Linked DNA regions of Anolis sagrei. The protein of the gene in region 1 purifies or fractionates together with the protein of each later gene. This does not show direct contact. Links are inferred from orthologs where the notes say so. Each region holds a gene or a part of one and is shown in the gene's direction. Other genes may lie near its edges. The genes, in order: NHERF2, PRKD1, LPAR2 and PLCB3.

The links.
Region 2: the proteins of NHERF2 (region 1) and PRKD1 purify together in Homo sapiens (affinity purification with mass spectrometry; 3 studies listed by BioGRID and IntAct, with this or other methods). This does not show direct contact. The link is inferred for Anolis sagrei from reciprocal best matches to the Homo sapiens genes NHERF2 and PRKD1.
Region 3: the proteins of NHERF2 (region 1) and LPAR2 purify together in Homo sapiens (affinity purification with western blotting; 3 studies listed by BioGRID and IntAct, with this or other methods). This does not show direct contact. The link is inferred for Anolis sagrei from reciprocal best matches to the Homo sapiens genes NHERF2 and LPAR2.
Region 4: the proteins of NHERF2 (region 1) and PLCB3 purify together in Homo sapiens (co-immunoprecipitation; 3 studies listed by BioGRID and IntAct, with this or other methods). This does not show direct contact. The link is inferred for Anolis sagrei from reciprocal best matches to the Homo sapiens genes NHERF2 and PLCB3.

Annotation. Positions count from the first base shown.
Region 1 is NC_090034.1:20,931,857-20,939,490, forward strand, and holds the start of NHERF2 (Na(+)/H(+) exchange regulatory cofactor NHE-RF2), read left to right. Parts: upstream 1-4,631; 5' UTR 4,632-4,859; coding exon 4,860-5,144; intron 5,145-7,634.
Region 2 is NC_090021.1:298,204,583-298,211,861, reverse strand, and holds the start of PRKD1 (serine/threonine-protein kinase D1), read left to right. Parts: upstream 1-4,277; 5' UTR 4,278-4,423; coding exon 4,424-4,441; intron 4,442-7,279.
Region 3 is NC_090022.1:147,098,387-147,105,957, forward strand, and holds the start of LPAR2 (lysophosphatidic acid receptor 2), read left to right. Parts: upstream 1-4,564; 5' UTR 4,565-4,959; intron 4,960-7,571. UniProt on the Homo sapiens protein: Receptor for lysophosphatidic acid (LPA), a mediator of diverse cellular activities. Seems to be coupled to the G(i)/G(o), G(12)/G(13), and G(q) families of heteromeric G proteins. Plays a key role in phospholipase C-beta (PLC-beta) signaling pathway.
Region 4 is NC_090032.1:16,250,746-16,258,595, forward strand, and holds the start of PLCB3 (1-phosphatidylinositol 4,5-bisphosphate phosphodiesterase beta-3), read left to right. Parts: upstream 1-4,832; 5' UTR 4,833-4,955; coding exon 4,956-5,054; intron 5,055-7,850. UniProt on the Homo sapiens protein: Catalyzes the production of the second messenger molecules diacylglycerol (DAG) and inositol 1,4,5-trisphosphate (IP3).

The DNA of each region.
Region 1 (7,634 bases):
GCTCAGATAAACCCAAAACTATCTAGATAGATGATTCCCTTGAAGCTGAGAGATTGTTTCCTGTGGAAACAGAAGCAAAGAGTATGTGTGTTTGTTAATTCTCTTTCTTGACAGACAAGCCCTGATCATCACCTTTTGTTTAAGGAGTCTCACACCTTTGTTTTCGGAAGCTCTTATCTTTGTCTGCTATCAAACTGGACAGTTGAGCGAATCAAAAGCTCATTAACATTTCCTTGGTATTGTCTTCACAGATTATGTATCCTCCCAGGGGGGTGTTACATCAAATGATTAGTCCTTCACCGGCCTATCCCCGACCTTCATTTCCCTACCAAAGTGGCAGCATCAGTAGAGCCTCCAGCCAATCGGGGTATGGATCCTTACCAGTCCCCTTTTTGACCAATTAGAGGAGGGAGTGGGAGTTTTGAATAGCTGTTAAACTGTATAAGATATCTTGCTTTTCTCTGTGTGTTATGCTTGCACTTTTTGAAGCATCTTGCTTGTACTTGCATCCCTTTTGGCCTAATTGAATTAAACCTCTGTGGCTTGTCTTCATCCTGGTGAGTTGTTTCCCTGTCCTGACCCATTCGGTTTAGAATATGCTTACCAGGCACGGACCCTCTTATCAGTGGTCCTAGTTTAACCACTACACAAATAGGAAATTGAGCATGTTTTGGAGAAATTACAGGAAGTCACTTTGGGGCTCTTTTTTAGCTGCTTTGGGGCTCTTTTTTAGAGACATAAAGCAGGATAGAAACAACAACAATAGCAACAACAACAGCCTAGAATTGTGCATTCTAATTACTCCATGATCAAGGGTAAGTGAATCTGAAGATATGGGTTCTGCCGTTAAGGGTGGTCTTACTATAGTTCTTAAAAGTTTAGCTTCAGCAGCAAACTATATTTCCTAAGAGTTGTTTAGACTTCCATCCAGCCAGACTTCTATCTGGCTGGCTAACTTTTAAATGGAGATTTGCTGGAGTTTATCATGGTTGAATCAGCAGATGGCAGCATTGGATCAATTTTGGCCAGGCTTCGGCAGCCTTGCATTGGAAAGCTCTCTGCAGTATATTGAAGATCCAATGTCTTGTTCTTATTCCAGTTATATCACCGCACAGCACAGTCTTGCCATACGGTGCAACCCTCTTGGTAGTAATTAATGTGTCTCTGTGTCTGGTTTGTAAAGTAAAAGGCAGAAAAACCAGAGGAAGACCTGAATGGACTCCATCAAGAGAGCCCTGAGTTTGGAAGGGCGGAATAATATTAGGATCTATTGGAGGTCTCTCATTCATAAAGTAAACCATAAGCTGAAGCTGGTTAATGTATTATTATTTACTGCAAAGAGTCTAAATACCTTCAAGGCACCAGATTCTGCCTCAGCTTGGATGCTAAGCAGGGCCAGCCCTGGATGGCATTTGGATGGGAGACTGCCAATATAGATCTAAGTGCTATACGCAATATTTCACAGAAAGGAACTAGCAAAGAAAGGCCTAAATCCTCTAAAGGCACCAGATCCCAACTGACTGTGAATGCTAAGCAGGGTCAGCCCTGGTTGGTTCCTGGATGGGAGATCGCCAATGTATATCTAAGTGCTATAGGTAATATTTCCAAGAAAAAAGACTACCTAAATCCCCTAAAGGCACCAGATCCCAACCAATTGTAGATGCTAAGCAGGGTCAGCCCTGGTTGGTACTTGGATGGGAGATCACCAATGTATATCTAAATGCTATAGGTAATATTTCAAAGGAAGGAACTACCTAAATCCTCTAAAGGGACCCAATCCCAACCAATTGTGGATGCTAAGCAGGGTCAGCCCTGGTTGATACTTGGATGGGAGGCCGCTAATGTATATCTAAGAGCTATAGGAAATATTTCAAAGTAAGGAACTAACTAAATCCCCTAAAGGCACCAGATCCCAACCAATTGTAGATGCTAAGCAGGGTCAGCCCTGGTTGGTACTTGGATGGGAGATCGCCAATGTATATCTAAATGTTATAGGTAATATTTCAAAGGAAGGAACTACCTAAATCCTCTAAAGGGACCCAATCCCAACCAATTGTGGATGCTAAGCAGGGTCAGCCCTGGTTGATACTTGGATGGGAGGCCGCTAATGTATATCTAAGAGCTATAGGAAATATTTCAAAGTAAGGAACTAACTAAATCCCCTAAAGGCACCAGATCCCAACCAATTGTAGATGCTAAGCAGGGTCAGCCCTGGTTGGTACTTGGATGGGAGGCCGCCAATGTATATCTAAGTGCTATAGGCAGCATTTCATAGGAAGGAACTAGCAAAGAAAGGCCTAAATCCTGGATCTCAACTGATTGTGAATGCTAAGCAGGGCCAGTTTTGGATGATACTTGGATGGGAGGACACCAATGAATACCATAGGAAAAACCATGTCAAAGTTTTCCTTGCATAAGAAAACCCGGAAATCCATAAGCCTGGCAGTATGATGGCAATGGGAAGAAAGGGGAGCCTACGCTGCATTGCTTCTTTGAGAACAAATCCTTCCTTCAAAGCACTCCTCTCGCATTGTATGACAGCAAGGGGTCAAAGCACTCAGCTCCTGAATCCTCCATAATGGAGGCTGTGGGCGGAATAAAGCACCTGGAACACACCGCTCTTTAGGCCTCCGGAATGAGACCGCTGTGCAGGGTGTGCAGAACGGCAGGAGACTTTTCTTCAAAAGCTTTAATGTGTTGTTCTTGCCATTTGCGAACAAAAGAGCAGCAAAATGATTGAAGGGGGTGGATTCTGAAACACCTTCGCTCCCCTGAAAACATCCAAGGTTTCCTGCCAGTTCTAAGTTCCAATGTCACTCGTGCAAGGAAAGAGAAATATGGAGAAACAGGGGACTTGAATCTTGGGACCCTAGCATTGGAAGGGGCCTCTAAAGGCCATCCAGATGAGTGTGAACTCCAATCTTTGCTTACTTCTTGCTCAGAAATACCCATTATTTGCATGCTGGGTAGAAAGGGGCTTGAGTATCGATATGCAGCTACACTGCAGAATTAATGCAGTTTGATGCCACTTGAACTGACCTAGTTCAGTGCTATGGAATCCTGGGAGTTGGAGTTTTGCCTTCCCTGCCAAAAGATGCGCTTTGTGCCTCCCCAAAGTGGCTTGAATGTTACAATCCCCATTTGGTTGCACAAGGTGGTTATGTTTGTTTTTAAGCTTTGGGAAAATAGGAAGGAAGGAAGGTAGAGAGAAGTGAAGGAAGGAAGAGATGGGAGAGAGAAGGAGGCAAGAGAAAGAAGGGTAGGAGGGAAGGGAAAAGGTGGAAAGGAAGGTAGAAAGAAAGAATACAGAGAATGAATGAAAGTTAGAAAGAAGGAAATTTAAGAGCTTCAGAGTAAGAGAAGTGTAGAAAGAAAGAAGGGGGTAGGAAGGAAGGAAAAGAGAAGTGGAGAAGAGGAAGGAAGGTAGAAAGAAGCAAAGAGAGAAAGGAAGAAAGGATAATAGAAAGAAGGAAGAAAGATGGGAAGAAATGAAGAAAGACAGAAAGGATGGAAGACAGAAATAAGTGAAGACAGAAAGAAAAGAAGGAAGATAGAGAGAAGTGAAGAGAGAAAGAAATGAAGATAGAAAGAAACAAAAAGAGAAAGGAAGGAAGAGAGCTTCTTTTTGGGAGGCTTTTAAGCAAAGGCTGGATGACCATCTGTCAGGGGTGCTTTGAATGTGATTTTTCGGCTTCTTGGCAGGGGGTTGGACTGGATGGCCCATGAAGTCTCTTCCAACTCTATGATTCTAAGGAAGGTAGAAAGAAATGAAGAAAGAGAGAAAAGAAGAAAGGAAGGAAGATGGAAAGTAGCGCAGAAAGAGAGAAAGAAAGGAAGATAGGAAGGAAGATAGAGAGAAATAAAGAGGGAAAGGAAGGAAGATAGAAAGAAAAACGTGAAGAGAAAAAGGATGGAAAATATGAATAAGTGAAGAGAAAAAGGAAGGAAGGAAGATAGAAATAAGTAAAGAAAGAGAGAAAGGGAGGAAGGGAGGTAGAAAAGAAAGGAAGAAAAGATGGAAGGAAGGAAGGAAAGAAAGAAGGTAGAAAAGAAAGGAAGAAAAGAAGGAAGGAAAGAAAAGAGGTAGAAAATAAAGAAGGAAAAGGAAGGAAGGAAAGGAGGTAGAAAAGAAAGGGAGGGAGGGAGGTAGAAAAGAAAGGAAGGATGGGTGGAAGGAAGGAAAGGAGGCAGAAAAGAAAGGAAGAAAAGACGGAAGGAAGGAAGGAAAGGAGGTAGAAAAGAAAGGAAGAAAAGAAGGAAGGAAGGAAGGAAGGAAGGAAAAGAGGCAGAAAAGAAAGAAGGAAAAGAAGGATGGAAGGAAAGGAAGGAAGGAAAGAAAGGAGGTAGAAAAGAAAGGAAGGAAACAAGGAAAGAAAGAAAAGAGGCAGAAAATAAAGAACGAAAAGAAGGAAGGAAGGGAGGTAGAAAAGAAAGGAAGGATGGATGGAAGGAAGGAAAGGAAGGAAGGAAAGGAGGCAGAAAAGAAAGGAAGGATGGAAAATCCAGAGTATCTGAGAGGGAGAAAGAAAGAGAGAGAAGATAGAGAGAAACAACGGAAGGAAGGAGGAAGAGGAGAGAAAGGGGACGCCCCCTCCTCTTTCTCTGAGCCCCCCTTCCTTTTTCCCAACCTCTGGAAGGTTCCGGTGGATGAAGGAAGGAGGGAAGGAGCAAGGAGAGCGAGAGAGAGCGAGAGAGAGAGAGCGAGCGAGCGGGGAAGGGGCGGGGCGGCCTTGTTGTCCTTCCTCCTCCTCCTCCTCCCCCTCCCCTTCGTGGCCATGATCCGCACCGGGGCTCGGGTCCCTCTCTAGCCTGGCTCCGTCCGGCAGCCGCTTCCTCCCGCCCGCCCGCCCGCCGCGGCCATGGCCAAGGAGCAAGGCGGCGCCGCCTCGGCCTCGGCGGGCTCTCCGCCGTCCTCGCCGCCCGCCTCCTCGTCCTCGTCCTCGGGGCCCCCCGTCCCGCGCCTCTGCCCCATGCGCAAGGGCCCCTCCGGCTACGGCTTCCACCTCCACGGGGAGAAGGGCAAGAGCGGGCAGTTCATCCGGCAGGTCGAGCCCGGCTCCCCCGCCGAGGCCGCCGGGCTGCGGGCCGGAGACAGGCTGGTCCAGGTCAACGGGCACAACGTGGAGAAGGAGACCCACCACCAGGTCAGAAGGAGGGAGAGGGCGGGCGGGGTGGGGGGGGGGGGAAGAGCAAAGACGGGGCTCTCCCTGCCTGCCTGCCTTTCTCAGGCATGGGCCAACTTCGGCCCTCCAGGTGTTTTGGACTGCAACTCCCACCATTCCAAAGAGGGCAAACTACAACTCCCAGGGCCCAATCATATTGAGCCAGGAGGCAGTTCAAGCGCTAAACTGCAACCATTCCACAGTGTGGACCAGGCATGGGCCAACTTCGGCCCTCCAGGTGTTTTGGATTTCAACTCCTACAATTCCTAACAGCCACAGGCTCTTTCCTTTTCCGCTTAAGCGGCCGAGGGGGGAAAGAAAGGGGCCTGAGGCTGTTGGGAATTGTGGGAGTTGAAGTCCAAAACACCTGGAGGGCCAAAGTTGGCCCATGCCTGGGGTATCTATCTATGTATCTCTCTCTCTCTCTCTGTGTATCTCTCTCTCTGTTTCTGTCTCTCTGTATCTATCTTCTATCTATCCCTTTCTATCTTTCTCTCGTCTGTCTGTCTGTCTGTCTGTCTCTCTCTCTCTCTATCTTCCTCTGTCTATGTATCTATCACCTATCTCTTTCAATCTTTCTCTGTATCTATTTGTGTATCTCTGTGTCTACAATATCGATCATCAATCAATCAATCTTTCCATCTTTCCGTCTACATGTGTGTGTCTCTCTTTCTATGTCTATCTATCTATCTATCTATCTATCTATCATCTATCTCTTTCTATCTCTTTCTATCTTTCTCTGTATCTATCTATCATCTATCTCTTTCTATTTTTCTCTGTATCTGTGTGTCTCTATCTATTTCTGTGTATCTCTCTCTCTCTGTCTCTCTCTCTCTCTCTGTGTGTATCATCTATCTATCTCTTTCTATCTTTCTATCTGTCTGTCTCTCTCTTTCTATCTCTGTGTATCTATCATCTATCTCTTTCTATTTTTCTCTGTATCTGTGTGTCTTTCTTTCTATCCTTTTCTATCTCTCTCTTTTTATCTGTCTATCTCTCTATCTATTTGTGTATCTCTCTATCTATCTGTGTATCATCTGTCTCTTTCTGTCTTTCTGTCTGTGTCTCTATCTATTATCTATCTATCTCTTTCTATTTCTCTCTCTACCTATCTATATGTGTCCCTCTTTCTATCTCTGTGTAACTCTCTCTGTGTCTATCACTCTCTCTGTCACTCTCTCTCTTTCTTTTCATCTATCTATATCTATCTATCTATCTATCTATCTATCTATCTCTGTCTGTGTACCTTGCTCTCTGTCTCTGTTTAACTCTTTCTCTATCTATCTATCTATCTATCTGTGTATCTCTTTCTCTTTGGCCACTTCTACACAGTTGTATAAAATCCACATTGAATTGGGTTATATGGCAGTGAGGACTCAGATAACCCAGTTCAAAGCAGACATTGTGGATTATCTGCCGTGATATTCTGGGTTATATGGCTGTGTGGAAGCCCCTTCTCCATATCTCTATCTTTGTGGTGTATCTCTATCTATCTATCTATCTATCTATCTGTGTATATCTCTCTCTCTCTCTCTCTCTCTCTCTCTGTATCTCTATTTGTCTATCTCTGTGTATCTCTCTTTTTCTCTATGGCTGGATCTACTCTGTCATATAATCCAGATTATCAAATCAGAAAATCCACATTATTTGCTTTGAAGTGCATTATATGAGTCTCCAGTTCAAAGCAGATAATCTGGATTTTATATGGGGCCCAAATCTGTGTATCCATCCTCTATCTATCTATCGATCCCTCTATCAATCTATCAATCTATCTATCTACCTATCTATATATCTCGTATCTCTTTGTGTATCTGTGTATATATCTCTCTGTATCTATCTATCAATCTGTGCATCTATCTATTTTTCTATCTATGTATCTATCAGTGTATCTCTATGTATCGATCTTTGTATCTATCAATCTGTTTATCTATCTGTGTATCTCTATCTGTATCTCTCTCTCTCTTGATCGATCTATGTATATCTATCTATCTATCTATCTTTCTATCTGTCTTCTAAATGTTCATTACACTAACCAGCCATTTGTGTGGAGGGTTCACATGGGGTCTTCCTGCCCTGCCAAAGGAGGTCGGACTGGAGGGCCTTCAGAGTCCCCTTCCAATTCTAGCATCCTATGATCCTATGACCCTATTTCTCCATATCTATCTATCTGTCTGTCTGTCTGTCTGTCTGTAAATGTCTATGTATGGGGCAGGTTCCAATCTCTCTCCTGCAGCTAGAGACCATTCACCATCATTTTTTAGCAAGGAAAAAGAAATATCGAGACATTGAGCAATAGAATCATAAGGTCCTAGAGCTGGAAGGGGCCTGTAAGGCCATCCAGTCCAACCCCATTCTATTAAACAGGAAGGCTGTCAGCATCCAAGCCCTCCCCACAGATGGCCATTTAGCTTCATGGACATTTGTGGAGAAACAGGGCAGTTGAATCATAGGGTCCTAGAAATGGAAGGGGCC
Region 2 (7,279 bases), on another chromosome or scaffold:
CTGCAGTTCAGACACCAGAAATAGTGGGTTCATCCCACATCTTCCAATAAGGGGCGGAATAAATTCACTACCTAATTAATTTTCTACAAACCAGGGTTGGTAGCTGTGCCTCCTTCACATATGGCCATCATTTCATGCCAGGGATCATGGGGTTGTAGTTCAACTCCCACAATTCCTTCTGCAAAAATACAATGACAACATCATTGATGTAGGCAGAAGCGTCTTCATTTTTCAAGTAGTGGGAGGTGTAGATAACAGTTCCAATGAAACTCATCCAGCTCCAATGAACCATCTCCACCTACTATCTTTTCTCATAACGCCCCATTTCTGTTCTGATCATCACAGCAGAGATAGACAATTTGTCTATCTGTCAATCTGTCAATATAATTTCTCATTTTCCTTACCTGACATTTATTATGTCCCAATTTTTGATCTTCCTCTAAAACTGCATTTTAAAAGTCGCAAATGAAAATATGTATGTCTTCTTCTAATAAATGCATTTTTATTCAATCTGTCCAATATATGCATTTCAGCAAACAGTTTTTCTTCATATAATGCTGCTTTTTCATTAATATATATGCAGCTTGTGTAACTGCCCCCAATGTATGTGTTTATAAACATTTTAAAATAATTTTATTAAATTGTACATCAAAAATACAACTTCCAAACATTTTCTGGTTGAAGGAATAGCATTGTAAAATTCTGAAAAGTATGACTACCGAAGTATGATCATAACCTGGTTCCCATATCAAATATTTTGCAGTTCTCATAGTCCAAACAAAAAAAAAATAATTCCCATCCTTTTCTAGCAATGATATAAAGAAGGACAAACATAGTCTAAAACTGAATTATCTACAGTAAGCATTGCTGACTTATAAAAGTGCCATTGGGAGTAATAATACTTACTTAGGCGATCCCTCGTTGTCTGAATACGATGGCCTTCCAAGTGTAGTGTCTTGGCGGTGGATATGTAGGTGATTGTGGAGTCTTATTCTTGATCTGCATGTTCATCCACAGTGAGGGCATCGGCTGTCAGCTGGAAGCCAGTTCCAATCAGGGTTGGCTTGACGCACCTTTCTCTTGGCACATTTTTCCTTTTTGCTCTCCATTTGTGCCTCTTCGCATTCTGCAGCACTGCTGGTCACAACTGACCTCCAGTTAGAGAGCTCAAGGGCCAGTGCTTCCAAGTTCTTGGTGTCTATGCCATAGTTTCCAAGGTTAGCTTTAAGCCAACCTTAAATGGTAATGGTAATGGCAATAGTTGATAGGTAATAGGAATTAATAGGTGATAGTAATGGTAATAAGTGATGTAACTATTTTGAGCCAGAAACAAATCTAAAAGTAATTCTGTAAATGGAGAATATCTCATTAGGTCTTATGTTGCAGGCTCACCATCTTAAAATGATTGAGTCACTATAACAGGTATGGGCAAACCCAGGCGCGGGGCCAGATGCAGCCCCTTTGGCTCTTTTCTCAGGGCCTCGTCTCTCTCACCATCCTATCATTCCTTCCAGAAGGAAGGAAGGAAGGGAGAGAGGTGGGGAAGTCAAGAGAACTCGGCTTCCTTCCCCACCTCTCTCTCACCCTTCCTTCCTTCCTTCCCTCCCTCTTTCTCCCTCCCTCCTTCCCTTCCACCTTTTCATCCTTCCCTCCCTCTTTCTCCCTCCCTCCTTCCCTTCCACCTTTTCATCCTTCCTTCCCTCTTTCCTCCCTCCCTCCCTCCCTCCCTCCCTCCCTCCCTCCAATCCTTTCCAGTATCCTTCTCTTCCTCCCTCCCTCCCTTCCTAATCATTTTCCTTCCTCCTTTCCTCCTGAGAAATGTTTAGCTGGGAGAAAAGAAGGTAGAGAGGGAACATGAAAACCATGCTTCAAGATTTAAGAGAGTGTCCCATTGAGGAGGAGGAGGAGGAGGGGGAAAATTGACTTCCCGCTGTTCTAGAGACCTGTCTGATGGAGCTATAATGAAAATTTTAAATTTTTATGTATGTTTTAGTATGATTTTATGTTTTATGATGCTTGGTTTTAATTTGTCTGTATGGTTTTTCTTTTCTGGCAATTGAATATTTTGCCTTATAGGTTGGAAACCACCCCGAGTCCCTCTGGGGTGATAGGGCAGTATATAAATAAAGTATTATTATTATTATTATTATTATTTGACACATAACAAGATTAGTACACAGCGAACAAGATCTCTATGTTGCCTTTTGCAATTGATCACACATCGGACACTTCTCAAGTATCTAGGTTTGTGTGATGTATCAGCAAATAATGAGTGCATATCCAAGTAGGGTGTCCTTTTGCAGCTGACAGATGGTAATTTTGTCAGTGCTGCCGCTGATTGTTTTTAAGTGCAGGCCACTGCACCCAGTGTGCCAATCACCACTGGGACCAGCTTTACTGGCTTGTGCCAGAGTCTTTGCAATTCTATCTATAAATCTTCATATTGTGTAAGCTTTTCCAGTTGCTTCTCATCAATCCTGCTGTCACCTGGGATTGCAACATCGACGATCCATACTTGTTTTTTTCCTCCATGATCATGAGGTCAGGAGTATTTTGCTCCAAAACTCTGTCAGTCTGAATTCAGAAGTCCCAGAGTAGTTTGACGTGTTCATTTTCCATAACTTTTTCAGGTTTGTGATCCCAGTTCTTTGTCACAGGCAGATGGTATTTGTGGCACAAGTTCCAAAGGATCATCTGAGCAATATTATTATGCCTCTCCTTGTAGTCTGTCTGCGCGATCTTTTTGCAGCAGCTGAGGATGTGATTGATCGTTTCATCTGCTTCCTTGCAGAGTCTACACTTGGGATCTGCCATCAACTTTTCAATTCTGGCTTTGATAGCATTGGTTCTAATGGCTTTTTCTTGGGCTGCAAGATTCAGTCCCTCCATCTCCTATAATAACAACAACAATAATGATTTTACTGACACAAAAACACAGTATGACATAGCAATCAAGATATATATGCTAGATTTCATATCACAAAATCACAAGTAGAACACTTCCCAAGCATTTAGGACTGTTTGATATATTTTCGAATGATGTGTGCAGATCCAAGTAAGGTGGCCTTTTACAGTTGAGATTGTGATTTGTCAATGTTCATTGTTTCCAAATGCTGGCTGAGATCTTTTGGCATGACACCCAGTGTGCTGATTACCACTGAGACCACCTGTACTGGTTTATGTCAGAGTCTTTGCAGTTCAATTTTGAGGTCTTGGTATAATCCAAACTTTTTTCTTTTCCACAATCATGATATCTGGTGTATTGTATTCCAAAACTTTGTCAGTTTGGATTCAAAAGTCCCACAATATTTTTGCATGTTCATTTTCCATGACTTTTGCAGGTTTATGATCCCACCAGTTCTTTACTACAGGCAGGTGGTACTTGTGACATAAGTTCCAATGAATCATTTGGGCCACATGGTTGTGCCCCTGTTTGTAGTCTGTCTGTGCAATTTTCTTGCAGCAGCTGAGGATATGATCAATGGTTTCATCAGCTTCCTTGCACAATCTGCATTTTGGGTCATCGGCTGATTTTTCGATCCTGGCTGCCTCCGCCTCCTCCTCCTCCTCCTCCTCTTCTTCCATAAACTGTAATAACATAATGTCATGAAAACTTTTCATTTATATTTCAGAAAAAAGTAAGATAATAACACACATTTTCAAGATTTTGTCATTTCTCGTTATGTTTATGTGACACATCTGCACAGTGCAACCAACACACTAACGTGTCATGACATATGGTTTGGAAAGCTCTGCATTACACCATGGCGGCTCTTAAATTTCTATTAAGTTCAAATTCCCAGTCTTTTGCACAGCATTTTTGTGTTGCCTAATTTGTCATACAAGATACACTCTAGAGATGCCACCCCAAGATCCTTGGTATAAAAAGGATGCCAAGGAAATGAAAAGAGGCCCATCCTGCTTTATTAAAGCTTTCATTTGAACAAGAGCTGAAACATGCACTTGTTCTGTTGCTGGAAAGACAAACTCCTCCTTCCTGCATTAAACATAAAGAGCTTCTGGTTAGAAAATGACATTCACTAGATAGGATGTTTTTGTGTGTTTGGTAAATAGAAAAAAAATGACAGGTGGTGGGTGGGATTCTTTCTTATTATTCTCCACTAAATCAGATTGGGGAGGAGGAACAGCTGAGATGAAGGACACAGCAGTCAGCTGAACAGAACCCCCCGTTTTATGTGGTGACAGCTGCCTCCCTCTCCTGTCAGCATGTGACTGGCTCTTTGTGTGTGTGTGTGTGTGTGTGTATGTAAACTGGGATGGGGGAGATCTAGAAAGAGTGGGCTGGCAGGTGGAAGGAAGCTCCTACTCACGTGTAAGTCCTAAGCCAGCCCAGAAGTAGGAAGGATTCAGTATTTCTTCAATGTGAACAGCAGCAGTGCACAAACCAGTAAGAACAGCTGGGATGAAGGCTGCTTTGAAGGTATCTGGAGGGCTTCAAGGGAAGGGGGAGGGGGAGGGAGATTGTCTCCCTTTTCTTTATGCGAGACTTGTCAGGGTTGGAAAGGGAGGTGTTAAGTTGGACTTTATGGAAAGGTGGACTTGGGAGCAAAAGGGTTACATGGATTGGAATGTGCTAAAACAAATTAACTAGATGGCAAGAGGGAAGTTTGGTATGAAGTTGGGAAAGGGGGGGAGTTAGGCAGAACACAGGTTGGCTATTTCCGCCTCTTTTTGAGGGCTTTTTTTTGGGAGGGGGGGAGTTAGGAAGAAAGAAGGTTGCCAATTTCCTCCTCGCCCCTTTTGATGGCTTTTGGGAAGGGTGGTGGAGGAAGAAGTGACCTATTTCCTTTTTTTGGAGAGAGAGGGAGTAGGAAGAACAAGTGCTGCTGATTTCCTTTCCATTTTTGATTGCTTTTTTGAGGGAGGGGCTTCCTATATGGCAAGAAGTTTTGTACAAAGTGGTCTGGGAGATGTTAGGAAGAATTAAGGTTGCCAATTTCCTTCCCCTTTTTGAGGAATTTGGGAGGGCAGCAGGAATTAAGAAGAATTTATTTATTTATTGTTGTTGTTGAAGGCTTTCATGGCTGGAATCACTGGGTTGCTATGAGTTTTCCGAGCTGTATAGCCATGTTCCTGAAGCATTCTCTCCTGACGTTTCACCCACATTTATGGCAGGCATCCTCAGAGGTTGAGAGGTCTGTTGGAAACTAGGCAAGTGAGGTTTATATATCCGTGGAATGTCCAGGGCGGGAGAAAGAATTCTTGTCTGCTTGAAGCAAGAATGAATGTTGTAATTGGCCACCTTGATTAGCATTGAATAGCCTTGCAGATTCAAAGCCTGGCTGCTTCCTGCCTGGGGGAATCCTTTGTTGGGAGGTGATTAGCTGGCCCTGATTGTTTCTTGTCTGGAATTCCCCTGTTTTTTGAATGTTGTTCAAGATAATAAATATTTATTTATTATCTTGATTTATATCCTGACTTTCTCCCTGTGGGGACTCAAGGTGGCTCAGATTCCACATCAGGCAAGTTTAAAAGGTGCAATACGAAAGTTAAAAAGAAATTAACAAGGAGCAGTGTGGTAAAAACAAAACTGAAATACAGTAGATATGCTAAAATGCCATTTAAAACTCACAGGAAGGTTTCCCTTTTTGATGGCTTTTGACAGGAGGAATAAGTTACCAATTTCCTCTCTCTTGGGGTGGGGCGGGGGGGGGGCTAGGAGAAGAGAGGGCTGCTAATTTCCTCTCTCTTTATTGAGGGGAGGTAGATAGAAGAAATTAATGTCAACTTCTTCCCTCTTTTTGAGGGGAGGGGGTATTAAGAATAAGCAACACATCTTTGGCAGGCATCCTCAGAGGTTGTGAGGTCTGTTGGAAACTAGGCAAGTAAGGTTTATATAATAATGATAATAATAATAATAATAATAATAATGAAAGTTTATTTATAGAGCACCCTCTCTCCCCAAGGGGACTCAGGACAGTTTACAAACAACAAAGGTAAACATTCAATGCTTGAACTCAAATACAAATAAAATAAAGAGGATAATACAAAAATAATAACCATAAAATTGTGACAAAAAGGAAATTAACATCAAAACGAGGGGCAAATACGAATAACTGAATAAACCTAATTATACTAATGACATAAATTAACCATTGAAAAATAAAGCCTAGAAAATACAACTAAAAACATTAAAATGACTATCAAGGTTGTTCTTCTCATGTACCATAGCAGCAGTGGGATACAAATAGGTTAGCCAGCATTCCTGTGGAACTGAAATGCCCTAATCCTCCTCCTCTCCATACATCAAAGTGCACAAGTGCGTTTTCAAGAGCCCTTTAAAGGAGAGGAGGGTAGGTATCATTTTTATTTCTTTGGGAAAGGAGTTCCAGAGATGGGGAGCGATCGCAGAGAAAGCCCCCCCCCCTCATTCTCACCAGCCACACTTGTGATGATATCTGTGGAATGGAAAGGAGAAAAAAAACATGAAAATGAACAAAATCTGGATACCAGTATTTAAAAAACTTTAAAATCAGGGCAGTAAATGAAGAGCATACTCCAAAAAACAAGGGAATTCAAGATAGGAAACAATCAGGGCCAGCTAATCACCTCAAAACAAAGAAGTCTCCCAGGCAGGAAGCAGCCAGGCTTTGAAGCTGCAAGGCTATTCAATGCCAATCAATCTGACTAATTTCAACATTCACACCTGTCTCAGGCAGACAAGAGATTTTTTCTTCCACCCTGGACATTTCAAAGATATATAAACCCCACTTGACTACATTCCAACAGACCCCTCAACCTCTGAGGACGCCTGTCATAGATGTGGGTGAAATGGGAGGAGATAATGCTTCTGGAATATGGCCATACAGCCCACAATGATGGAATCATTGAGTTGGAAGAGACCTCGTAGGCCATCCAGTCCAACCACCTGCCAAGAAGCAGGAAAATTGCATTCAAAGTACCCCCGACAGATAGCTATCCAGCCTCTGTTTAAAAGCCTCCAAAGATGGCACTTCCACTACACTCCATGGCAGAGAGTTCCACTGCTGAACAACTTTCAGGCTTGGGAAGTTCTTCCTCGTATTCAGGTGGAATCTCCTTTCCTGTAGTTCTGTGTCCTAGTCTCCAGGGCACAAGCAGAAAACAAGCTTGTTTGCTTCTCCCTATGACTTCCCCTCACATGGCCCTCATCATGTCTCCTTTCAGCCTTCTCTTCTGTAGGCTAAACATGCCCAGCTCCTTAAGCCTCTCCTCATAGGGCTTGTTCTCCAGATCCTTGATCATTTTAGTCATCTTCCTCTGGATACATTCCAGCTTG
Region 3 (7,571 bases), on another chromosome or scaffold:
AAAAGAAACAATTGTCAATGAATACAAATATGAGTAGATCAATAGGTACCACTTTGGTGGGATGGTACCAGCACTCCATGCTGGCTACATGACCTTGGAGGTGTGTACGGACAACGCCGGCTCTTCAGCTTATTTATTTATTGAAAACTTTTATATCCTGATCTTCTCAACCTCCGTAGAGGGACTCAGACCGTCTTACAGCAAGGATTCAATGGTAATAGTACAATCTAAAAACATCATATAATAACGAGTTAAAATACATATCAATTAAAATTACAAATAAAAGCCAAATCGCCAAGATAAAATCATGTCCAACTCAGTCCGCATGTGTGGTCGATAACTTTATTCTGTAGCCGGTTTCAACCATCACTCTGGGAATGCTTCCTTCCATAACCAGGATTTCACCTGAAGGACAGGAGGGAGGGGGCAAATCTGATATCAATCGAGAGAGAGTTCCATAGCCGAGGGGCCACCACAGAAAAGGCCCTGTCACTCATTCCCGCCAGACGTGATTGCGAAAGTGGCGGGACCGAGAGCAGGGCCCCACTAGAAGATCTTAATTGTCTTGATGGTTCATAGCTTAGAAATTGAGATAACGCCCCCCCCCCCCCCCCCAGATCTGGACATGACTTAATGTCGAGGGGAAACCTTTAAACTTACTTTACAAATACATGCTGTTTCCTGGCACATTGGGAGAAATGGTCCCTTGCTTAGATAACTTAAAGAGCATTACTTCCAGCACCTGATATTTCTTGGTAGTCCTTCATTCAAGTACTAATGATACTGGAAACTGTTTAGTTTCCAAGAACAGAGAGGATCTGGTGCCTTCCAGGTATTTAGACTAAGTATGTTACAATGTGCAAAAATAATCAATCATTCTGAGATCTCAGGATATTGGCTATTTCATCATAACTTTGCTGTCTTGGAACCAATGTTTGGCAATCATAATGTTGGAAGACACCATAAGGATCATGCCATGCAGGAACACACAAACCAACAGATGTTATCCAGCCTCTGTTTGTAAACCTCCAAAGGCGACTCTGCCACAATCCAAGGGTAGTTTGTGTTGTCCTTTCATTCTACGTTATCTCAAGAGTACTTTAACCACCTTTTTGCATTTGAAACCCCAGCAAACGTTTTTTTCTAATACAAAGCTACAAAGCCTGTGAAAAATGCTACAAGGTTTTCATCCTCTGTGATGTTTTTTATATGATTATGACTATTCACAGCCTGAAAGAATGGGAAAACATGGCCTTCCAGCTACTGGTGAGTGCAGATCCCAGTATTTTGCATCTTGGAGTATGCTGGTGAGAGCTGCTAGGAGTGTAGTTTAAGAAATCCAGAGATTGTACATTTGTGCTGTGCAGGATTGCTGCCTAAATGTGCAATTCACCGACGCATCTGATCATGTTATTATAGCCTCCTTCCACTCACTGGGCAGGAAGGATGCAACCCAGGGGTCCATTGTTTCTTATTCTTTACCAATTACTGTGTCCATGTCTGAGCCATAAGTCCTAAACTGTTGTGAAAAATGATCTCTATATCCAGAAAGTCCTTCTCAGTCTCCTCCATTACTTATTGTGTGCATAAAGATCCCCAATTGAGCCAGCCCCTCCTTCAAACAGTAGGCCTTATTGTCTCCAGGGTTAGCAATCTATTCCCATCACTTTAAAATCCCTTTAATCCAGACGGCAGTTCAAAGGCCTAAAACCAGCAGTCCTAAACCCAATTATTTACGGGGCTAGGACTCAGCACTTGCAGCCTCATTACTACATCCACTTACCCAGATGCAAGCCTCACTTTCTTCTGGATTTTCATTTACTTCTCAGTATGCTTACGCATACTAACCTGGATGCAAGCTCTGTTGAACACAGTGGGGCGTACTTCTGAGTAAACAGATACGATACTGGGTCACACATTCCAATGAACCAACAGGGACTTACTTCTGAGTAAACATAGATAAGCCATGGGCTACAAGCCTTATATAGTTTGATACCGTACTGTTTACACTGAAATATGTCCCACTGGGCTCTATGGAGCATACTTTCAAGTAGGAAGGGCTCAAGACAATTTGCTGCCCAGGGTGGAGAAGCAAATGGGGTGTCTCCTTTCTCGAGTCAAAGGCCAGCTACTTGGAGGAAGTAAAAAAATCCCACAAATTCCTCTTCCTGGCAAGGAGGATACAGCAATGATCATTCACATCAGCAAAAATGTGTTCCTTTTTTCTTCTGACATCAGAAATCTGCCTGAAGTGGCTGCACCACTCAACTTAATAGTAAGGATCCTTTCACACACTACATATATGGTTCTAGCACTATGCTTCCATGTTAAATGCCATGGTTCTATCCTGTGATTTATGGTTTGGTCAGAGGCAGGAGAGGAGTGCTCCAGCTGAAAAATCTTCCTTATCTGTTAATCCTTAGATCTGGTAGAACTGAGCCAATGGCAAAGTATCTCTGTTCGCTCCCCTCATCACAACACCCCTTTTACATGCAAATAAGCAAAGGAAGAAACTAGTTTTATCCAGTGGTAGGGGAACAAAGGGTGATCTTAAGATGCTTTTTACGGTAATGGGTCATCTGCTCCACAAAACACACTGATTTAGATGTTGTGCAATCCTTTGGGGAAGCCCCCCCCCCCCATAACAAACTGAAATGAATGGGAATCTGCTAAAGAACACCAAAGTCAGACATACCTCAGGTAGTAGATGTAGAATGTCACAAAAGAGGGGCAAAGTAATGGTAGTTTAGTTTGTTGTATTTTCACCGCGTGTGTATATTTGTTTGCGTATATATATGTGGTTTTGTGCATGCATTGTAATGTTTTTTTATTTATTTCTGGGCTTTTTAAGTCTCTTCCGCTGGGTTTTTCAGTGTTCGGTTGTTATAGGTTTTTCCGGGCTATAGGGACATGTTGGACTACAATTACTATCAGCACTTACCATCTCAGATTTTATTTAGTACTGGTTGAATAATCCTTATCCGAAATCCTTGGGATCAGAAACGTTTTGTATTTCAGATTTTTGTTTCAGTTTTGGAAAACCTATGTTTGCATATTTTTATATAATGGGAAATCTTGGAGGGGGAATCAAATGTACGCTTTATCAATATCTTACACACATGGCTTAAAGGTAATTTTGAGCTTGAAACAAAGATTTGTATAGTTGTTGTAGGTTTTTTCGGGCTATATGGCCATGGTCTAGAGGCATTCTCTCCTGACGTTTCGCCTGCATCTATGGCAAGCAGCCTCAGAGGTAGTGAGGATGCTTGCCATAGATGCAGGCGAAACGTCAGGAGAAAATACCTCTAGAACATGGTCATATAGCCCGGAATAACCTACAACAACCCAGTGATTCTGGCCATGAAAGCCTTCGACAATACATTTTTCAGTGTTTTTATTAGTGAAGGTAACTCGCTGGCCTGATACATATATTGTGTCCAAATTTGGTGTCAATTTGTCCAGTGGTTTTTGAGGTATGTCAATCCCACAAACAATTACATTTTTATTTATATAGATTAATATATTCAAAAACCCGCGAAACAGCGAGTCCGTTAAAAGCGAATTGCGAAGTAGCAAGGGAACACTGTATTCTGGTTCAAAGCAGATAACGTAGGGTTTTATTCAGATGTGTGGAAGGGGGCTGGAGGCCCTTCCACATTGCCCTATATCTCTGAATATCAAGCCAGAAACTCCTAGAATATCTGGTTTGAACTGGGTTATCTGAGTCCACACTCAGATAATGTGGGATTTTCTGCCTTGATATTCTGGAATATAGGGCTGTGCGGAAGGGCCCAGTTCAAAGCGGATATTGTGGATTATTTGCCTTCATATTCTGGGTTATATGGCTGTGTGGAAGGGCAGAAAATCCCACGTTGAGTGTGGACTCAGATCGCCCAGTTCAAACCAGAAAGTGTGGGATTTCCTGCCTTGATATTCTGGGATATAGGGCCCTCCGATCACCCAGTTCAAAGTGGATATTGTGGATTATTTGCCTTGATATTCTGGGTTATATGGCTGGTGGAAGGACAGAAAATCCCACACTATCTGAGAGTGGACTCAGATTGCCCAGTTCAAACCAGATAGTGTGGGATTTTCTGCCTCCATATTCTGAGATATAGGGCTGGGTGGAAGGGCCCTCAGATCACCCAGTTCAAAGTGGATATTGTGGATTATTTGCCTTGGTATTCTGGGTTATATGGCTGTGTGGAAGGGCAGAAAATCCCACATTATCTGAGTGTGGACTCAGATCGCCCAGTTCAAACCAGATAGTGTGGGATTTTCTGCCTCCATATTCTGGGATATAGGGCTGGGTGGAAGGGCCCTCAGATCACCCAGTTCAAAGCGGACATTGTGGATTATTTGTCTTGATATACTGGGTTATATGGCTGTGTGGAAGGCCCCCTTAATCCCCCTTTCCCAGACAGAAACTCCACAAAGGAGTGGCTGCCCAAACAAAGCTTCTGGAGACCCGGAGGGGGCTGGAGAGGACAGTCTTTCTTTCCTTGCAGATGAATGGCAAGTGGAGGAAGAAGGGAGGAAGGAAGGAAGAGGCAAGAGGCGACTCAGGTTACAATTCCTGGGTGGCTTAAGGGAGCAGGTCTCCTGCAAGGCGAGGGAGGCGGGCCTGGGCCAGCGAGCAAGGAGGCCCCAGAGCGGGAAGGCAGTTCTCCGAGGCAGAAGGGAAGGAAGCCAGGCAGAAGGGAAGGCGGCCGGCTTGGCAACTTGGGCAGCCTTTGGGGAGGGTGGCGGAGTGTGGCGGGAGTCTTTGAGTCCTCCCTCCTTTGGTCTTTGTTGAAAGGAGACCCAACAGCAAGGGAAGGAGGGGAAGGGGGAAGGGGAGAGAGGCCCGACCCAGCTGCCCAGCAATGACAAGGAACTTCGGCTCCAGAAACCTCACCCTTGGGAGGGAAGAAGCCCGGCGCTAGTCCCTTTCTCTCGGACTCTCCTCTCTGCCTTCAGGTAAGACCTCTCGCTTTGGCGAGGCGGGAAAAGGGCAAACAATGGAAGCAAGGGCTTGTTCCTCTAGCCAAGGCGTTCCCAATCTCTCCCTCGTTTTCTCAGGGCAGAGGGGGGTAACTTGGGAAAGTGGCGGGAGGAAGAAAGGAAGAAAAAGAGCAGGACGGATGCTCTTGCGCTCAGATAGAAGGAGGAAGGAGTTCAGTGTCAGTCTAAATGTTGGGATATAGAGTGGAGAAGGAGCCCAAACTTTCAACTCAGGACTTTAAAGGATATAGGGTTTGGCCCTAAAGTTGGGTTGTAAGTTGGAGAATCTCCACGTTTGTTTAGAAAAACAACCATTCTATGTTTCTAGTCCTCATGGGGTGTAATTTTACTGCAGAATGGCACTCTTCGGCAGAGAAAGTTATACCTTGTCAAACTACAACTCCCTTAATTCCATAGCACAGTTCAAAGTGGTGCCAAACTCCATTCATACCACTGTGTAGATGCGCCCATGATGGGGAAGGAGCAAAGCAGGGCTTTATTTAGCCTCAGGCCCCTTCCACACAAGCTGAATAAAATCTCACATTATCTGCTTTGAACAGTGTGGACTCAGATAACTCAGTTCAAAGACAATGTGGGATTTCCTGCCTTGATAATCTGGGTTATATGGCTGTGTGGAAGGGCCCTAAAGCCCCTTCTACACTGGCATAAAACCCAGAATATCAAATCAGATAATCCACATTTTGAACTGGATTATATGGCAGTGTGGACTCAGGACCCTTCCACACAGCCATGTAACACAGAATATCAAATCAGATAATCCACACCAGATTATATAGCAGTGTGGACTCAGGGCCCTTCCACACAGCCATATAACACAGTATTTCAAATCAGATAATCCACATTATTTGATTTGAACTGGATTATATGGCAATGTGGACTCAGGGCCCACACAGCCATATAACCCAGAATATCAAATCAGATAATCCACATCAGATTATATGGCAGTGTGGACTCAGGGCCCTTCCACACAGCCATATCACCCAGAATATCAAATCGGATAATTCAATTTATCTGCTTTGAACTGGATTATATGGCATTGTAGACTCAGGGTCCTTCCATGCAGCCATATAACTCATCATATCATGGCAGAAAATCCAGATTATCTGCTTTGAACTTGATTATCTGAGTCTACACTGCCATATAATCCAGTTCAAACCAGATAATCTGGATTTTATACAGCTGTGTGGAAGAGGTCTGGGAGTCCTGGTTTCAATCAGCCCAATCATCACTTTCAGCCAGCAGAGCCCTCAACTAGTTAATCCAGGTTCTCAGCACTTTCATGGTCTTCATAATTGAAACAGCAGCAACTTTCTTTTCTTTCTGCAAGTGGACTGTGTTGCACATTGAAAAAGGGAAATGGGATGTTTTGGCAGAGAGAACTGAAGGATGGCAATGATGTTGTGATGGACGGATAGGTGTCAGTTCTGTACAGCCTGCGTCTTCCTGTTGGTTTGTTTAGTTACAATGTTGGAAAATACCTGAAGGGCATAAGTTTGTCTACCTTATAGTATAAAAATGAAATCACGAGTCTACTCTTAGTTCTAGGCCAGTCCAAGGCACCATCTACACTGCCATATACAATCCAGATTATCCGCTTTGGACTGAATTATATTAGTCTAAGTGTCCGACTCTGAGGGGTGGTGCTCATCTCCAATTCTAAGATGAAGAACCGGCATTGTCCGTAGACGTCTCCAAGGTCATGTGGCCAGCATGACTGCATGGAGCACCCTAACCTTCCTGCCAAAGTGGTACCTATTGATCTACTCATGTTTGTGTGTTTGAAACTGCTAGGTTGGCAGAAGCTGGGTCTAAATAGTGGGAGCTCACCTGCTCCCCGGATTTGAACTGCTGATCTCTCAGTCAGCAAGTTTAGCAGCTCGGTGGTTTAACTGCCACATATTTCAGTTCAAAGCAGGCAATTCTGAATTTTATATGACTGTAGAGACCTAAGAGACTTTGCTGTCTGAGGCCAAGGAACTGCTTGCCTTCTCCTACCTATGGTCCAAATCAAATTGCTCTCTTCTCTTCCCTAAAAAGACAACTAAGGCCCCTTGTACATTGCTATATAATCCAGATTACCAAAGCAGATAATCCACATTATCTGCTTTGAACTGGATTATCTGAGTCTACACTGCCATATAATCCAGTTCAATGTGGATTTTATACAGCTGTGTGGAAGGGACCTTGGTTTAATGGTGGAAAGCCAGTCCTGTCTCAGGCCCCTTCTCTCAAAATACTGTATATGGTGTGAACTCATCCTGTGTTACCCTTTCGCACAGCTGAATTGGTTCCCTGTAGGGAAGTCTGTGGGTTGATAAACAGTGCAGGAAACTTGAGCAACCAATAACTGCTGAAGGCAGTACAAATACTGTCCTCCAATCTCAAGGGGTTGGATGTTGGATGGCTCTCCAAAACTATGTGCATCCTGCCCTGAAGACAGATGAGCAGGGCTTGATATGGGCTGGAATCCTCCTTAGCAGGAAGGAAAAGGCCTTGGGCACAGGGGCCATGAAAGAAGTGACGAATGCCAGAAAGACCTATCTATACTGGAAACGTATAGCAATTTA
Region 4 (7,850 bases), on another chromosome or scaffold:
GAGAAGGGGCAGTTCTAATCTCCAGTGGGAGAGAGTTCCAGAGCCGAGGGGCCACCACCGAGAAAGCCCTGTCCCTCGTCCCCACCAGACGCGATTGCGAGGATGGTGGGACCGAGAGCAGGGCCCCTCCAGAAGATCTTAACAATCTTGATGGTTCATAGGGGAGAATCTGTTCGGACAGGTAAACTGGGCTGGAGTCGTTTAGGATTTATAGGTCAACACCAGCACTTTGAATTGTGCTCGGAAGCTAATCGGCAGCCAGTGGAGCTGGCGCAACAGAGGAATAGTATGCTCCCTGTATTCTGCTCCTGTTAGTAATATGGCTGCCGCTCGTTGGACTAATTGGAGCTTCCGGGCAGTCTTCAGAGGCAACCCCACGGAGAGAACGTTGCAGTAGTAGCTTATTTTCTGCTGCCCTGAAGACTAGGACGCAATGGAGCAATGGCTTCAAACTACAAGAAAGGAGATTCCACCTGAACATTAGGAAGAACTTTCTGACTGTGAGAGCCGTTCAGCAGTGGAACTCTCTGCCCCGGAGTGTGGTGGAGGCTCCTTCTTTGGAAGCTTTTAAGCAGAGGCTGGATGGCCATCTGTTGGGGTGCGTTGAATGCAGTTTTCCTGCTTCTTGGCAGAAAGGGGTTGGACTGGATGGGCCATGAGGTTTCTTCCAACTCTATAATTCTATGATTCTAAGATTTTTTTTTGTCGTGTCAGGAGCGACTTGAGAAACTGCAAGTCGCTTCTGGTGTGAGAGAATTGGCCATCTGTAAGGACGTTGCCCAGGGGACGGCCGGATGATTTGATGTTTTTATCATCCTTGTGGGAGCCTTCTCTCATGTCCCCGCATGAGGAGCTGGAGTTGATAGAGGGAGCTCTCCCCGGATTCGAACCTGCGACCTGTCGGTCTTCAATCCACCGGGGGCTCCTATTCTAAGATTAATGAGCTGGCCATCAAGAGGCTTCAGGAAGAACTTATCTCAAGATGGATGGAAGCTCTTTGCTATCAGTGGCCTAGTAGACACTCTGGTGCATGGTTCTCATTAATAGCAGCTCCTTAGATAAAGGTGCTTAAATGAAGACTGACAGGTGTTGAAGTTAAAATATGCCATTGAAGTCAAACAATGGCGAACAAATTGAAACTGAATCCAGACAAGACAGAGGTACTCCTGGTTAGTCGCAAGGCCGAACAGGGCATAGGGTTACAGCCTGTGTTGGATGGGGCCGCACTCCCCCTGAAGACGCAGGTTCGCAGCTTGGGTGTGATCTTGGATTCATCGCTGAGCCTGGAACCCCAGGTTTCGGCGGTGACCAGGGGAGCATTTGCACAGCTAAAGCTTGTGTGCCAGCTGCGCCCGTACCTTGGGAAGTCTGACTTGGCCACGGTAGTCCACGCTCTGGTTACATCCCGTTTAGACTACTGCAACACTCTCTACTTGGGGTTGCCTTTGAAGACTGCTCGGAAGCTTCAACTGGTTCAACGTTCGGCAGCTATACTAACAGGAGCGGCGCTCAGGGAGCATACAACTCCTCTGTTGTGCCAACTCCACTGGCTACCAATTTGCTACCGGGCATAATTCAAAGTGCTGGTGTTGGCCTATAAAGCCCTAAAGACGGTTCTGGCCCAAGTTACCTATCCGAATGCATCTCCGCCTATGAACCCACTAGGACTTTAAGATCTTCTGGGGAGGCCCTGCTCTCGGTCCCGCCTGCAACTCAGGCACGGTTGGCGGGGACGAGGGACAGGGCCTTCTCGGTGGTGGAACGCCCTTCCCACAGACATTAGATCGGCTCCCTCATTAATGGCATTTCGGAAGAAAGTGAAACCCTGGTTATTTGAACAGGCGTTTGAATAGGCAGTGCAATGAATTATAATGAATTATAGGAAATCGGAACTACGGATGATGAGCTTGGATTATTATTTTAGTTATGAGACGCTAATGAGTTGTTTACTGAGGTTTATTGATGTTAATTGCTTAGTGTATTATTATGTTAATTGTTTTTAAATGGTTTGTATGATGATAGCATTGAATTGTTGCTGCTGTTTGTTGTTAACCGCTCTGAGTTGCCTAAGGGCTGAGAACGGTATACAAATAAAGTAAATAAATTAATTAATAAATAAATGTAAAAGTAGAATTTTGTGAGGCACATTATGATGCCTGTATGATGCATGCATATTATGTTAAAGGGTATATAAACCAAGGCTTTTCTTTGTTTGGTGCCCTGTCTCTGGACTACCAGCAGGGTCCATACCAACTGAGAATAAACCGTACTTTTTCAGACCTCAGGGACTCTCTTTGCCTCTTTCCCTCAAACCTTCTCCCTGCCATTTCAGAACCTCATTAACATCATTCCCCACATCCAAAGCACCCTGATCCTGAAACACAACCACACGCTGAACTCCAACAGCCATCACACTTGGACAATGAGGGATTGTCTAAGTAAGTACAAGCCATTGATTGATAGTTGAATATCTGCAAAGTTGCATGATTCCCAGTCTTGCTTCCAGGCAGACCTTGGGCACTCCAGATGTTTTAGATTCCACTCGTAACATGAATCGGAATTAGATTTGTCTCACTTTTAAACTAGAAATAAAGTAGTGTAAGCTATTATAAAGTCAGGGAAACTAGAGAAGGGAGTGGAAGCTGATTGAAATGAATGGCAGCGGATCTTGCACAGCCTGTTCGAGGCAAGAAAACCAGTTTGTCCACAGTTTATTTTCTTGTTTGGTACTTTCCCTTTCAAAGAAATGAGGAAAGCAGAGTGCAGCGCTGTTGTTACAATCTAAAGGCAAATATTCCAACATTTCTCACTTATTTTGGTAATATCTCTAAATGCAGTGCGAACTACAAGTCCGGCACGGATGGGTCCGTGTGCCAAGTTTGGTCCAGGTCCGTGTTTGGCTGGGTGCAATTCCTCTATTTGCTGTGTACCAGGGGTCCTCAAACTAAGGCCCGCGGGCCGGATACGGCCCTCCAAGGTCGTTTACCCGGCCCTCGCTCAGGGTCAACCTAAGTCTGAAACAACTTGAAAGCACACAACAACAACAACAATCCTATCTCATCAGCCAAAAGCAGGCCCACACTTCCCATTGAAATACTAATAAGTTTATATTTGTTAAAATTGTATTGTCGAAGGCTTTCATGGCTGGAATCACTAGGTTCTTGTGGGTTTTTTCAGGCTATAGGGCCAAGTTCTAGAGGCATTTCTCCTGACGTTTCGCCTGCATCTATGGCAAGCATCCTCAGAGGTAGTGAGGTCTGTTGGAATTAGGACAATGGGTTTATATATCTGTGGAATGGCTGGGGTGGGGCAAAGAGCTCTTCTCTGCTGGAGCTAGGTGTGAATGTTTCAACTGACTACCTTCATTACCATTTGAAGGCCTGGCTGAGCCTGGGAAAATCTTTTGTTGAGAGGTGTTAAGATGTGCCTGGTTGTTTCCTCTCTGCTGTTTTGCTGTTGTAATTTTAGAGTTTTTAAATACTGGTAGCCAGATTTTGTTCATTTTCATGGTCTCTTCCTTTCTGTTGAAATTGTCCACATGCTTGTGGATTTCAGTGGCTTCTCTGTGTAGTCACGAATCCAGGAACATGAAAGGCACTGCAGACTACTCCAACCAGAGAAGTCAGCCATAGCAGAGCACCTGATGAACCAGCCTGGACACAGCATATTATTTGAGAACACAGAAATGCTGGACCACAACAACAACCACCATGTCAGACTACACAGAGAAGCCATTGGGTCGCTGTTTCCGGACACATTCCAGCTTGTCAGCTCTCACATATTTATACATGGCTATCATGTCTCCTCTCAGCCTTCTCTTCTTCAGGCTAAACATGCCCAGCTCCTTAAGCCGCTCCTCATAGGGCTTGTTCTCCAGACCCTTGATCATTTGGGTCGCCGTTTCCGGACACATTCCAGCTTGTCAACTCTCACATATTTATCCAGGGCTATCATGTCTCCTCTCAACCTTCTCTTCTTCAGGCTAAACATGCCCAGCTCTTTAAGCCGCTCCTCATAGGGATTGTTCTCCAGACCCTTGATCATTTGAGTCACCGTTTCTGGACAGCTTGTCAATTCTCACATATTTATACCAGGCTATCATGTCTCCTCTCAACCTTCTCTTCGTCAGGCTATACATGCCCAGCTCTTTAAGCCGCTCCTCATAGGGATTGTTCTCCAGACCCTTGATCATTTGAGTCACCGTTTCTGGACAGCTTGTCAACTCTCACATATTTATACCAGGCTATCATGTCTCCTCTTGCCCTTCTCTTTGTCAGGCTATACATGCCCAGCTCTTTAAGCCGCTCATCATAGGGCTTGTTCTCCAGACCCTGGATCATTTGAGTCGCCGTTTCCGGACACATTCCAGCTTGTCAACTCTCACATATTTATACAGGGGTATCATGTCTCCTCTCAGCCTTCTCTCATCATCATCATCATCATCATCATCATCATCATCATTTAATTACTTATTAATTGCCCTCCATCCAAGATGCTAGGCGATTTCAGCCTTCTCTTCTGCAGGCTAAACTTCACCAGCTCTTTCAGCCGCTCCTCATAGGGTTTGTTGATCATTTGAGTCTCCCTCCTCTGGACACATTCCAGCTTGTCAACATCTCTCTTCAATGGTGGTGCCCAGAATTGGACACAATACTCCAGGTGTGGAATATTATAATCCAGTTCAAAGCCTACGCCTGTTAGGAATTGTGGGAGTTGGAGTCCAAAACTCCTGGAGGGCCCATGCTTGGGCTACAGAGTTCTGAGGTATGAGAGGGAATGGGGCTCCTCCCAAAAGGAGGAGGAGGAGGAGGAGGAAAGGGAGGGTCCCCAAAGGCAGACCCCGCCTCGCTTAGCCTCGCCCCTCCCGGCCCAAGCAAGCAGCCAAGGCAAGGCAAGGCAAGGCAAGGCAAAGGCAAAGGCAAAGGCTTGGCTTGGCTTTCCGGGGAGGGGGCGCCATGGCTGGGGGCCGCCCGGGGGTCCATGCCCTCCAGCTGGAGCCCCTGAAGGTCCACGAGACCCTCCTCAAGGGCAGCAAGTTCATGAAGTGGGACGAGGTGAGTGAGTGTGCCTGCCTTCCTCCACTCTCTCTCTCTCTTTCTTTCTCTCTCTTCCCTTCCTTCTTTACTTTTCTTCCCCTCTCTCTTCTTGCTTCGTTCCTTCTTTTCTTTCTTTCCTTCCCTCTCTTTCCTTTCCTGCCCTCCCTCCCTCCCTCCACGTTTCTCTCTCCCCTCCTTTCTTCTCTCTCACTCCTTCCTTCGTTCCTTCTCTCTCCTTCCTTCCCTTTCTTTCCCTCCCTCCCTCCCTCACTCCACGTTTCTCTCTCTCCTTCCTGCTTTCCTTTCTCTCTCCTTTCCTTCCTTCTCTCTTTCTACCCTTTCTTTCCTCCCCTCCTCCCCTCTCTTCTTTCTTGCTTTCTCCGTTTCTTCCTTCCCACTTTCCGCTCTTCTTTCCTCCCCTACTCCCTCCCTACTTCTCTCTCTCTCCCTTCTTCTTTCTTTCCTTCCTTCCCTCTTTCCACTCTTCTTTCCTCCTCTACTCCCTCCTTCCTTCCTTTTCTCTCTCCCTCCCCCCTTCTCTCTCTTCCTTCCTCTTTCCTTCCTTCTTTCCACTGTTCTTAACTCCCTCTACTCCCTCCTTCCTTCTCCCTCCCTCCCCCTTCTTCTTTCTTTCTTTCCTTCTTTCTCTCTTTCCTTCCCCTACTCCCTCCTTCCTTCTCTCTCCCTCCCCCTTCTTCTTTCTTTCTTTCTTTCCTTCTTTCTCTCTTTCCTTCCCCTACTCCCTCCTTCCTTCTCTCTCCCTCCCCCTTCTTCTTTCTTTCTTTCCTTCTTTCTCTCTTTCCTTCCCCTACTCCCTCCTTCCTTCTCTCTCTCTTCCTTCCTCTTTCTTTCTTTCTTTCTTTCTCTCTTTCCTCCCCCTACTCCCTCCTTCCTTCTCTCTCTCTTCCTTCCTCTTCCTTTCCATCCTTCATTCTCTCTCTTTCCATCCTTCTTTCCTCCTCTACTCCCTCCCTCCATCCTTCTCTTTCTCTCCCTTCTTCCTTCCTTCCTTCCCTTTTTCCACTGTTCTTTCCTCCCTCTACTCCCTCCTTCCCTCTCTCTTCCTCTTTCTTTCTTTCCTTCCCTCTCTCTTTCCATCCTTCTTTCCTTCTTCTTCTCCCTCCTTCCTTCTTTCTCTCTTCCTTCCTCTTTCCTTCCTTCCTTCCTTCCTTCTCTCTTTCCATCCTTCTTTCCTCCCCCTACTCGCTCCTTCTCTCTCTTCCGCTTACCTTCCTTCTTCCTTCCTTCCTTCCTTCCTTCCTTCTCTCTCTCTTACCCTCCTTACAGTCCTCTCTTTTTCCTTCCCTCTCTTTCCAGCCTATTTCCTCCTCTTTCCTTCCTTCCTTGTTTACTTTCCTTCCTTCCTTCTCTCTCTTTCCATCCTTCTTTTCTCCCCCTACTTCCCCTTTCTCTCTCTTCCTTCCTCTTACTTTCATTCCTTCCTTCTCTCTCTCCTTCCTTACAGTCCTCTATTCTTTCCTTCCCTCTCTTTGCAGCCTATTTCCTCCTTCCTTCCTTGTTTACTTCCTTCTCTCTCTTTCCATCCTTCTTTCCTCCCCTACTCCCTACTTCCTTCTTTCTCTCTTCCTTCCTCTTTCTTTCTTTCCTTCCTTCATTCTCTCTCTTTCCATACTTCTTTCCTCTCCTACACCCTCCTTTCTTCTCTCTCTTCCTTCCTCTCTCTTTCTTTCTTTTCTTCCTTCCTTCCTGCCTTCTTTCCTTCCTTCCTTCCGTCCTTCTCTCTCTCTTTCCATCCTTCTTTCCTCCCCCTACTTTCTCCATCTCTCTTCCTTCCTCTTGCTTTCCCTCCTTCCTTCCTTCCCTCTCTTCTCTTCCTTACATTCCTCTCTTCTTTCCTTCCCTCTCTTTCCAGCCTATTTCTTCCTCCTCTTTCCTTCCTTCCTTCCTTCCTTCCTTGTTTACTTTCCTTCCTTCTCTCTATTTCCATCCTTCTTTTCTCCCCTACTCCCTCCTTCCTTCTCCCCCCTTCCATCACTTTTCCCTTTCCTTCCTTTTCTCTCTCTTTCCTTCTTTCTCTTGCTCATTCTTCCCTCTCTCTTTCCATCCTCATTTCTTACCCCTTTCTCACTCTCCTTCCTTCCTTCTTTACTTTCCTTGCTTCTTTTTCTCCTCCCTTCCTCTCTTTTTCCTTCCCCCTCTCTTTCCAGCCTATTTCCTCCCCCTCTTTCTCTCCTTCCTTCCTTCTTTACTTTCCTTCCTTCTCTCTCTTTCCATCATTCTTTCCTCTCCTACTCCTTCCTTCTCTCTCTTGCTCTCTTCCTTCACTTTCTCTCTTCCTTTCCTTCCTTCTTCCTCTCCCCCCCCCACTTTCTCATTTCCTTCATTCCGTCTCTCTCTTTCCATCCATCTTTTTTTCCATCCTTGAATCTCTCCCTCTCTTTCCTTCTCTCTCTTTCGCTTCCTCTTCCTTTCCTTCCTTCTCCATCTATCATTCTTTACTTTCTTTCTCTCTCCCCTCTGTCTTTCCATCCTTCCTTCCTTCCCCTATTCCCTCCCTCCTTCTTGCTCCCTTCATTTCTCTCTCTTCCTCTTTCCTTCCTTCCTTTTCTCTCACCCACTTTCTTTCTCCTTTCTCCTTTCCTTCCCTCTCTCTTTCCATCCATCTTTCCCCCATCTTCCTCTCTCCCCTTCCTTCCTTCCTTCTCTCTCTCTCTCACTTCCTCTTGCTTTCCTTCCTTCTTCTATCTTTCATTCTTTACTCTTTTTCTCTCTCTTCCCTCTCTCTTTCCATCCTTCTTTCCTTCCCCTACTCCCTCCCTCCTTCTCACTCTCTCCTTCCTTCCTTCCTTCCTT